2 linked regions of the Caenorhabditis elegans genome follow. The protein of the gene in region 2 purifies or fractionates together with the protein of the main gene of each other region. This does not show direct contact. Each region holds a gene or a part of one and is shown on either strand. Other genes may lie near its edges.

Evidence for each region.
Region 1: the proteins of glo-4 (region 2) and rpm-1 purify together in Caenorhabditis elegans (affinity purification with western blotting, with the first as the bait; one study listed by BioGRID). This does not show direct contact.

Annotation. Positions count from the first base shown.
Region 1 is NC_003283.11:8,816,676-8,821,794, forward strand, and holds the start of rpm-1 (E3 ubiquitin-protein ligase rpm-1), read right to left. Parts: upstream 3,281-5,119; coding exon 3,094-3,280; intron 3,026-3,093; coding exon 2,802-3,025; intron 2,361-2,801; coding exon 1,927-2,360; intron 1,789-1,926; coding exon 1,344-1,788; intron 1,198-1,343; coding exon 1,053-1,197; intron 1,002-1,052; coding exon 1-1,001.
Region 2 is NC_003283.11:9,239,971-9,245,123, forward strand, and holds the start of glo-4 (X-linked retinitis pigmentosa GTPase regulator homolog), read right to left. Parts: upstream 3,252-5,153; 5' UTR 3,195-3,251; coding exon 3,035-3,194; intron 2,937-3,034; coding exon 2,691-2,936; intron 2,077-2,690; coding exon 2,003-2,076; intron 1,709-2,002; coding exon 1,559-1,708; intron 1,257-1,558; coding exon 1,038-1,256; intron 583-1,037; coding exon 358-582; intron 309-357; coding exon 154-308; intron 1-153. Other genes in the region: aat-2 (Amino Acid Transporter), read right to left, coding at 4,710-5,153. UniProt on the Caenorhabditis elegans protein: Could be a guanine-nucleotide releasing factor for glo-1. May play a role in gut granule biogenesis. Regulates axon termination in PLM and ALM neurons.

The sequences.
Region 1 (5,119 bases), 420 kb from region 2:
TTGCTGCGGAGTGTTTTTGCTAAGTGTATCTCCAACTCCTAATTGGCCATGGCAGTTGGATCCAAAAGTGAAAACTCTTCGATCAGATGCAAGAAGTACTGTATGAAAATTTCCACAGCTTACGCTTGAAACTTTTACATCATGAGGTCCTTGACTTAAAATTACACGTGACGGATGTAGAGTACTTCTTTGAGGAGCAGCTGTTGAACTGAATTGCACATGCTGAGCTCTACCAGGCTGTGCTGGTTCTGTAACCTCTCCACATGGTCTGCAAAGTCCACATCGAAGGCATGTTGACTCTCCAACACCGCAATGACACATGGTTCCCTTTGGTCGAGGAACTCTTCCACATGCTACTCCTCGTGCGGAGCAAAGCCCGCATTGAGCACATACCGAGGGTGTGTCAGTTAGCCACGTGTGTTCTCCGATAGGACAAATCTGATACTCTTGACGACCGGAATGTCTTGGAGAAGACGTGGTTGAAGTTGATTCAACTCTTCCACATTGATTCATATTGTTCAATCCCCATGTAAAAAGATGGCCATTTCGAGTCACAGCAACACCGTGAGATTTTCCAAGCGCTAATGAAGAAATCATCACATTATCCAGTCCATTTAACATTTGACTTGAAACATTCACTCTCATTGTATGAAGTCCTCCCATGAAAATCTTTCCATTTTCAGATACATATCCATAGACATGACCAGAGGCGCAAACATGAACAATTTTCCGGCGATTAGATGGAACAAGTCGACGTAGTCTTCCATTTCTTTTCTTATCGTCTACACTTGCAATCCAACCATGCCCTGCACCAGAACGAAACATTATTGTATCAATTCCAACAGAAATTTGAACTATTGGCTCGGGAAGACACAGTTCCATCCAGTTGTTCCCAGTTTCAAATAATCCGAACCTTGTCCCGTTTCCAGCGTAGTACACTTTTCCAGAGCGAGCTTGAATGAATGCCATTTCTCGAGTGAAGTGAAGATCAACAGTTTGAGCTGAAAATTGATATGTTCAAATTTCCATGTAAACAAAACTACTATTCTTACGATGAAGGTTTGCAGGTAGAAATTCGGGGAGTTGGTGAGGAACTTGAAGATCTCCTTGAATCGTGAACTTCACATCAGTGAGTCGATGACTTCTTCGTGATGATGGCTCATTGGAAGGGGAAAATGAATCATTTAGTTGAATTGTCTGAAATATGTTATTTATAAACTTTTTTGAGCTGTCATGTTATGTGTTTTTATTTCTAACAATAAGTAGAATTTTCACGATTAAAAGTGTTTAAAAATAGTTTCAATTAAATATCTTAATTTTTAATTTGAGAGAATAAATCCTACCGATAGTGTAGAATTGGCAATCAGAGTTGCACTGTAAAAGTATGTTCCATCCGTGAACAGTGCATGTTGTACACAACTTGGTGGTAGAATCACTTCTCCAATATCCAACAATGAATCCGTGTCAATCACTGATATGCATGATGAGTAATTTCTTCGTAAATACAATGATCCATTGCATAAATACATTTGCACATTTTTCGACGATTGTAAACTCTGATTCGCTGCATACAACTTTCCAGAAATTGTTTCATTCAGGCCGGTCCCCAACTTGTAGAGTCCAACATAATTAAGAATGTAGAGAAATGTTCCATCACATGCCATTGTGCTATGTATTCGATTGTCATCGTCGGGAGTGTCGGAAGACGGAGAGCTATCAGGAAGACTAGGTAGACTGAAACTGCTTGCTACCGAGTGCTCGTGAACATCTACCATTGCCCAGTTTGGTCTGAAATTTTGCATTTAATAAAATACTAATAAAACTATCATGGGATTTTGCAAGCTTCTAAGAAATTCTACTAAAAGAAGAAATTTGTGAACACAATACTACATATTTGAATACTTTCAACTTGAATAAAATACTCACGGGGAATTGGCAGTGTTGTCTCCGCCTAAAGCTTTCCTCCTCACTTTCAGTAGTAATTTTCTCAAATTTTCTGGCATTTGGATCATATCATACGTCGAATCGGCGCTCATTCGAATATTTTTCTTCATACAAATTAATGATCGAATTGTGCTTCCTAAATGCTCCGGCTCTCCACATGCAACTGATAAAGCCACAAGGCATGAGGTAGCTTTTGAGCTCACTGAGGGACAGGCATCTTCTCGAAGCGTTTTCAGAACGTGCATCATTGCAGACATTGATAAACGGTTTTCGGACTGAAGACAATCGATTGGCATCGATTGGATCAATGATAACAATGATTCGAGAGCTTGAACACAAAGTTCGGCGTCACGTCGACTTAATTGCTCGAGAACTTCGAAGATACATGTTAAACTAGCTCCAACCAGCTGATCAGTCTGAAAATTCATGAGAGCTGAACCATTTTTCACCTTTTAAAACAGTTTTTAATAAGAAAAAGTATTTCACACACGGGTTCCAAAAAGTTGTAGAGTTATATGTTCAGTTCCATTTTGAAATTTATGGTAATTTAGTATTCCAAAATTGTTTTATTACTCACCGGTTCAATTTCAAATAATTATTTTTCAAACCATATTCTATTTTTAGCGTTTAAAAAGGAAACAATTTTGAATCTAGCTGGGGGGATATCGTCAATGTGTAAAACACGGTTTCATAATTGTTTTTTCTGGTTTCCTTGCCGACCTATGTCCCAGTTTTGCAAGCTTCTTAACTACGTTTCGAAAAAAAATTTAGAAAAAATTTGGCTGTTGACTTTGAAACTTAATTAGAAATTTCAATGTATTTTTCATTTAATACTTTTTAACATTATAAAAACTCACATTTTTGTATTGCTTTCCCTCTTCATCAGCTCCACTGGTTCCGGCTTCCTCTTCGCTTCCATCTTCTTTTTCAGAAACTTCTTCTGGATTCCCAAACCGTGCAAGAATTGATTTGGCAATTGCTACTAAAGCAAAAGGCGAAGGTGGTCCCACAACAAATTTTGAGTTCAGAATATCATGAAAATTAATTTGTTGTTGCTGGTCCAGAGGTGTTTTGGATTTCTCTGAAATTAAAAATTATTTTTATTTTTATTATTTTATACTTCTCCAAACTACAAAAAAATATACTAACCTTCTTCTTTATCGAGTTTCCCGCAATGTGCTGGAACCCTGAGAATATCCGGTTTGCATGTGTTCTCGGCACATTTGTATAGCAATTTTCTCAGTCTTCGTGCACTTTTCCTATCTTCAGGAATCGACGTTTCGGTGCTCGTGGAACACACTCGTTCACCATCAATTTCTCGCAAGAAGAACGACATTTGGATATTCTTTGGAAAGTTAATAAAATTGGTTAAATATTGTGGATAGATTGATTCTCATCATTAGTGATCTGAAAAATTTAACTGTGGCATTTAGAAAAAAAAATAACAGAGAAACTCTGAGGCGTCAATTTCTCTGCAATTATGTGCATTCAGGAAATATGAGGAAAATTGAAGGAAAAGAAAACCATGAAACAATAACTAAATTTTAAGATCACAGGCTTAGTATATGCGCAGATGTGATTTTGAACGTAGCGCCAGTGGGATTTTTCTTGATTTTTTTAAGATTTGAAAGAAAATTGCAATAATTTAACATTTATCCTTACTTTTTGTCACAAAATATTTGAAAGTTTGACAAAAAAAAGGTTCGAATCATATCGCAGCTTTAAAAAATGAAGAAAATCGGATGAAGTTAGCAGGAAAGCGAAATTACTTTGATCGCTTATTCAAGAATAATTTAGGTACGATAATCCAACTCCAATTGAAGAAATTTTTTTTGAATTTTCAATTATCGTAAATATTATAGGCGTTTGAATGAAAATTACCCAAATTACAAGAAAAGAGGAAAAAGGGAAAATTGTGAAAGATTTTTGTTCACCAAGGAATAAAAAAGTATAAAGCCGAGCAAAAGCAATATTGACAGACTTTACTGTTTTCCGTTCGCTCACAAACCACGTGCCTATCCCTTGTTCTGTCCGATCACAAAACGATATTTCTCCGAGACAAAAACGTTTTTTTTAAATAAATGAACAAAATCTAGAACTCCGGGAAATTAAGTTTCCTGTCCGAATCATTTTGCTGATCTGCGAAAATCGAGGGACATTCATAGAAGAGACGAAGAGAAGAAGGTCCCACCCCCCGTAAAAGGGTATGCGCCCGTTTTGTTGAGAAAGGAAGAGAAGTGAGAGAGACACAGAAAGTGAGATGAAACCAAAACGGAGAAAAGAGAACGAGACATAGTGTTGTCTTTGTTGGAGACAGACTCGCTTGTAATGGACAGCCGGTCAGACATGAGAAATAGGACGCAAGGAGATGGAAACGGAGAGCAAGGGACGGGTGTCCCTAGATGGACGAAGAAGAAGGGCTCCGTGCGTGTATTTGTGTGTGTATCTGTGAGAAGTGTCGAAAAGCGGAGATGAGGACAGAAGAAGGAGAAAATTGGGTGTGGGTCCGGAAAAAAGGGAAAAAGATTTGAAATTAGATATGCCAGCTTGGAGAAGCTTTTGTTATTTCTTGAGAGGTATCCAAATCAGATTGTTTTTTTTTGCTGTGGGATATCTGAACAATATTCTAAAATACGGTATGTATTAAGTACCTTAAAATTTACCTGTTATAAGAGTTTGATGGCAGTGTTATTAACAATCTGAAATATAAATATGTATACTGAAATAGAAAAGTTGTTTTCAGCTATTCGAAAATAGACGTAGGTACATAAATAAATCTTGGATTAAGAAAGGTGTAAACAGTGACGTATGTGATTAATCGTATAAGCACCAAATTTTATCAAGTTTTTTTAAAACTTTATTGCAGCAAATTATTTTATTAATGTGGCGTATCCAAAACTATTAAAATTGAATACTTTTGATCTAGTGTTATGTCTTTCAATGTTGTCAACTGCTGAAACATCTGATATTCATCAAGAGTGTCTATACTGATCTATTTTGTTAAATATAATTTATTAAAAATTTCTGAAAATAATTGAGACTCTTGAAAAAATCCATTTAAAACAATCAAAATAGTTCAAAAAGTTCACATATTTTTATTGTTATAAAAATATAATAAAATTGCAATGTTTATCGAAAAAATGAAATTTCATAATTATTTAAACAATCCAAATTG
Region 2 (5,153 bases):
CATTATCCGTTGCATCGGAAGTGGTAAGCCAAGTTTTGATATATTGAACATTCAAAATCCCAAAGGACCCAATAGTCCAATAATTCTTGTTGATTTTTGATAGCTGTCATAACCCATCAAGTGTGGATCAACAATAAAAGTTAGAAAACTTACAAAGCAGTCGACTGTTCCACACGAACCAAACCTCGCTCATTGACTACGAATATTCCAGCCAATTTGTGTGGTCGAGATGGCATTGCTACAATTCCGAGAGGACGCCAGTTAGTGGACGTGCGTACAAGAGTATACTCCAGACGACTGGACATGAACTGAAAACAATATTGAATTCATTTTTCTTCTCCCGAGTTCTGTTCTTACTCCGAAATGTAAAGCGCTTCTGATTTCATTATCATTCGAAACTGTGAACAACATATTATCACCAGCATGCACCATCCAAGTCTCTGGAGGTACTTTGAATGTTCGTTTCGAAGAATGTGCCAATGAATGAAACGTATTGTAGACTTCCACAATTGATTCGGTTGTGTCAAGTGCAACGACACCACATGAATCCGCCGCAAAGAACTGCATTGTTGCCGGCTCGAGCTGTAAATATTTAGAGATTCATGAAGAAATAAAATAAAAGCATGCTTGGCACGAAGTCAGCCGAAATTTTAGTTAATGCAGATATATCAAAACATTTAAGCCGACAAAAGTGTACAGAACATTTTTTGCAAATGAGAAGGAGCCAGCGATACAAACCTGACTGAAACCCGAAAACTCCGCCTCGGAAAACATCTGAATTGGGCAACTAATTTGTTAAGGCTATAATTAAACGGGTAGGGTATTATCAAAATTTCTATGTGAATTTCGTGTTGTTTAGAGACGACCTATGTTTATAACTTTTAAACTATTAGCATAGCGTTTTCATCCAGTACCCGAAAGAATTAGTGTAAAACCTTAGCTGCAACTTTCCCCTAAAAAAATACAATTTAGGTATTGTTAAACTTATAATATTAGTTTAAACATAAGAGCAGTGATATGCGATTCAGAAAACTTACCACAGTAAGATCTGATGGTACGCATGTTGTCAAAACTTCTCGAAATCCCTTTCCACTTCTTTCAATTGGAATTATCCATTGTGCACCAGTAAATCCCGTGACAAGCAACTCGATAGAGTTTTCATCAAGAAGAATGTCAATCTGGTGCAAACTTTGCGGTGCTTTCAACTCGGACACACATTTTCTGAGGTGAAGATCGACGAGAAGAATGTTCCCAGCCTGCAATTTATCATTAATTGTTGTTATCTTTGTAGATATTTTCGTTTCGTTTTGTTGCACAATTGTATGTTTTTTATTGTTTTCCATCAGAAACTAAATAATAAAACAAGAGCAGTCAGCTGCCATTCACTTTTTAAAACACGTTCATGATGGCATTCCATTCTGACGTTCCAATCTCTTTGTCACCGTAAATCACAACATTAGATATCCCTTCTCACACCGCTGGACATCACATTGATAATTATTGATGCGAAAAGAGTGATGGGCTCATCTAACGCAAAGTTTCATCACATAAAACTCACTTTATTTGCAACCACAGCCATAGTGCACGGTGGAAAATTGGAAACGAAGCATTTAGTGCAAGTGGGTGTGGCCAGGCAAGGATCCACTGTTGGAAGACTCAAATCAATTACAGTCGTTGTCGCCCACGAGGAACCACCCCACGTCACGTCCTGGAACAATTTAAAGTTAGAAAAACAAACAGGGTTTTTTGTTGAAATTCTTGTCATTATGAGAAGTAATCTATCAAAGTAATACTGGAAGAGAATCATCTGGAAGCGTTGTGGTACGAAAAGTCAGAAAACAAACAGATGACACACTATCGGTTTCTTTTGTTTTTCTGTTTTCGAACAATTGACACATGTAATTCGATATCCTGTGGATACGTAACACATAATGAGTTTTGATCGAAACTGATTTTTGGTTTCATTTGTTTTTAAAACCACAAATTAACATCAAGAACTTACGATAAGAAGCCTGATTGGAGTAACGAGAAGATTACCATCAGCAAGTCCAAAGATGGCGAATGCTGCTTGACTTCCTAAAACATAGTTTTTTCTTGTTTTGAATGCCAGATAACACCTTTAATATAGTTTAGTTTTCCGAAAGAGTTGGATAATACAAATCTCATTTTGAAACTAGGTATTGGCAAAAACGTTGTACTAGTTGATAAATGCTTCTCAGTAAATCGTTTATTTTTCTATGCATTTTAGAATGTGAAAAGTCTTAAACTTCAGTTTCTGCACCAAGTAAACAAATTTATGTAAAATGTTCAGATCTTTTAGAGACCCACTGAGAAGATACAAGTGTTTCAAGTTTTCAGGAATCTGTGTTCTTAATGTTCCACGTTGCAAAACGTGAAAACTTCCTCTTAATCTTTTTTTTAATTCAAATTTATTAGAATTACAACATGCCACGTGAAAGTTTTAGATAAGAAAATCTGATCCACGAGTTTCTGGATATTTTGAAATCATTGAAAGACGGTGTTTCCCGATTGGATAGTATAAAATATCTCTAGAACAACAACATAAAAGTCGGAGAAACAATTTCAGCAGTTGTCTTGAGGGTTAGAGAATTAAAAAAAATTTGTTTTTGAAAATTAACTTCTCAAAGTTTTTTATTATTTAAATGTTTAATTTAAGCAATTCAACTTACCAATGCATACAGTAACCGGGCTAACATTGAGGGAGCATGCCGTTTTGATATTTACAACGTTTTTTCTTGGCTTTGTGTCTCGACTTGTCTCCAAATAAGCTTGAACGTCTCCTTTTGACGTAAGCAGCAAGATTAGAAGAAACGAATCATCACTGAACACCGAATAGTCAATAATTGAATCATCGGCAGAGAGCTCGTCGAGTTCCAAACTGCACACGTAAGGATTTTCCATCATCTTTCGGCGGGCTGGAAAATTATCAAATTGAATTGTTTATTTGAAACATCCAATGAATCTAGAGCAATTTAAAGTTGTTCACGTTTAAAAAAAAAATATTTTCACAAACCTTTTTTGCCACTTTGTCGGTGGACACTTCCTTTTTGTGAACGCGCTCCAGCTTTGGTATTGTTCAGAAGTGGAAGCAATAATGATTCTGAAGAAGTTGACGTATCAGAACTTGAATTTGCCGATGTTTTACGAGAATTTGTACTTCGTTTGAAGAACATATTAGCGAATTTTGTGTGTGTATCCAGTTGGCCGTGCGGCTCTTACTGATAGTGTCTGACATAGACCGAGATTCTGGGATCCCTCCCCCTAGAGTGATTGGGGTGCCAAACACATGCTTCACAGCAATAAATTACCCTTTCAGTTGAGTGTATGAGGGTGAGATTTTCAAAAAAATACTAGCAGGGTTATGTTTCAGTGATTGACAAGACATTTGGAAGAGATAAATGACGAGGTATACCCTGAGCAAAAGAACAAATGGCACTAGTTAAAATGTCTGGTGTACTTTTGAACTGACTTCTTTGAAACAAATTTTGGAAAACTATTTAGAAAGGAAAATTAAATAAATATTTTGCGGTGAAAAAATTCGACTTATTGTCTTGTCTTATCAATCATATGACTAGGGTATCAGCTTGATAGGGAGTTTTTTGATGTGTAAAAGCGCAAAGAAATGGTAATAGATAAAACAATATAAAAGTTACAAAGCCATTCTATTTTAAAATTAAATTTATTCGTGAAGAGAAGTAAAATGAAAAATTCCCCTTTCACCCTTGTTTCTGTCTGTATCTTTTCACTCTCCCTTTTGTCCACTCTGTCTCACTCCTCCACAGGAAATGGGCATAGAAGACTGCTGACGCGTTTTTCGTGGACATAGGAAACATTTCGCGCTAAAAATGTTTCCCGCATTGTTCGATACTTCTTATAGTAAGTCAAATAATTTTAAATGGTATAACAATTGTAGATATTACCCTAATGCGAAGATTTATGGAGAAAGAATACGGTAACCGGTCTCGAAACGAATGAAAATGTTACATAAGAAAAAAGGAAAAGAAGTGTGTACCGTTGAGGAGTACATTAATTTTGCTCTTTTTAAGCAGTTAATTTTCTGAAACTAAAAAAATTATACTGGAAAACCTTCTTAAAATTATGCATCTTAGAGACATCCACAAAGGAAAAAAGTTTTGATTATTTTTTTTCAAAATTCGAATATCAATTAAATTTTCAAAATGAATGAAGCAAAAAAACTTAAAATTGAAGCGGAACTTGGCAACTGTCCACATGAGGAGACAGTGCATTGTCTACATCATTTTTCCTTGTCTCTCTCTCTCTCTCTCTCTCTCTCTCTCTCTCTCTCTCTCTCTCTCTCTCTCTCTCTCTCTCTCTCTCTCTCTCTCTCTCTCTCTCTGGGTAAATAATTAAAACGTTTTGCATGTTTTTTGCTTTATAATTAACAATTTTAAAATTGAGAACGTTTTATTTCTATTCGAGAAAATAAGTTATTAGGTGCTAAAAACCAAAACTTTCAATGATGACATAAAGATATATTTTAGATATGGAGCGGATAAAATAGCAAAAAAATGCTGTGTCAATTTGAGATATGTCCGCTTGATAACGGAAGCGCAGAAAGATCTGGGAGCAAAAAAAACCAAACAAAAAAACAAAAAATGCACACTGTGGAAATAAAAAAGAACAACGGAAAGAGTCACGGGTTTGGATATGACAATAAAACAGAATTTTCAGGAACTGGAGAGTTCTGGGACACAATAGAACAATTTTTGAATGAAATGTGTGAAGCCTATCCACACAGATTGAATGAATCCTGGACGGTATTTATTGTAGACGAAGAGAACGTAGATGGGAATTCCTGAAAGTACCAAGAAAACTCCGTAAATGAGTTCCCATGGATCACTGTGGAAGAATGGAAGGATCAAAAGAAAGAGGCACATAAGGAAAAACAGTATTGGCCACAGGAGACTGATTTTGATTGGACGGGCGTTTAGCACATTTTCAGGCATTGTGAATCTCAATTTCAAAAGCCCAGCGACAGAAGAGAAAACAACGAGTGATTCAGCAAATGACAGATAGTTAATAAGCTGGAACACGTTACCAATGAAGAGCATGACGATTGAAGTTCCACCAAGGAAAATTAATGATGGAATCGGAGTAAGTTGTCTGATTGA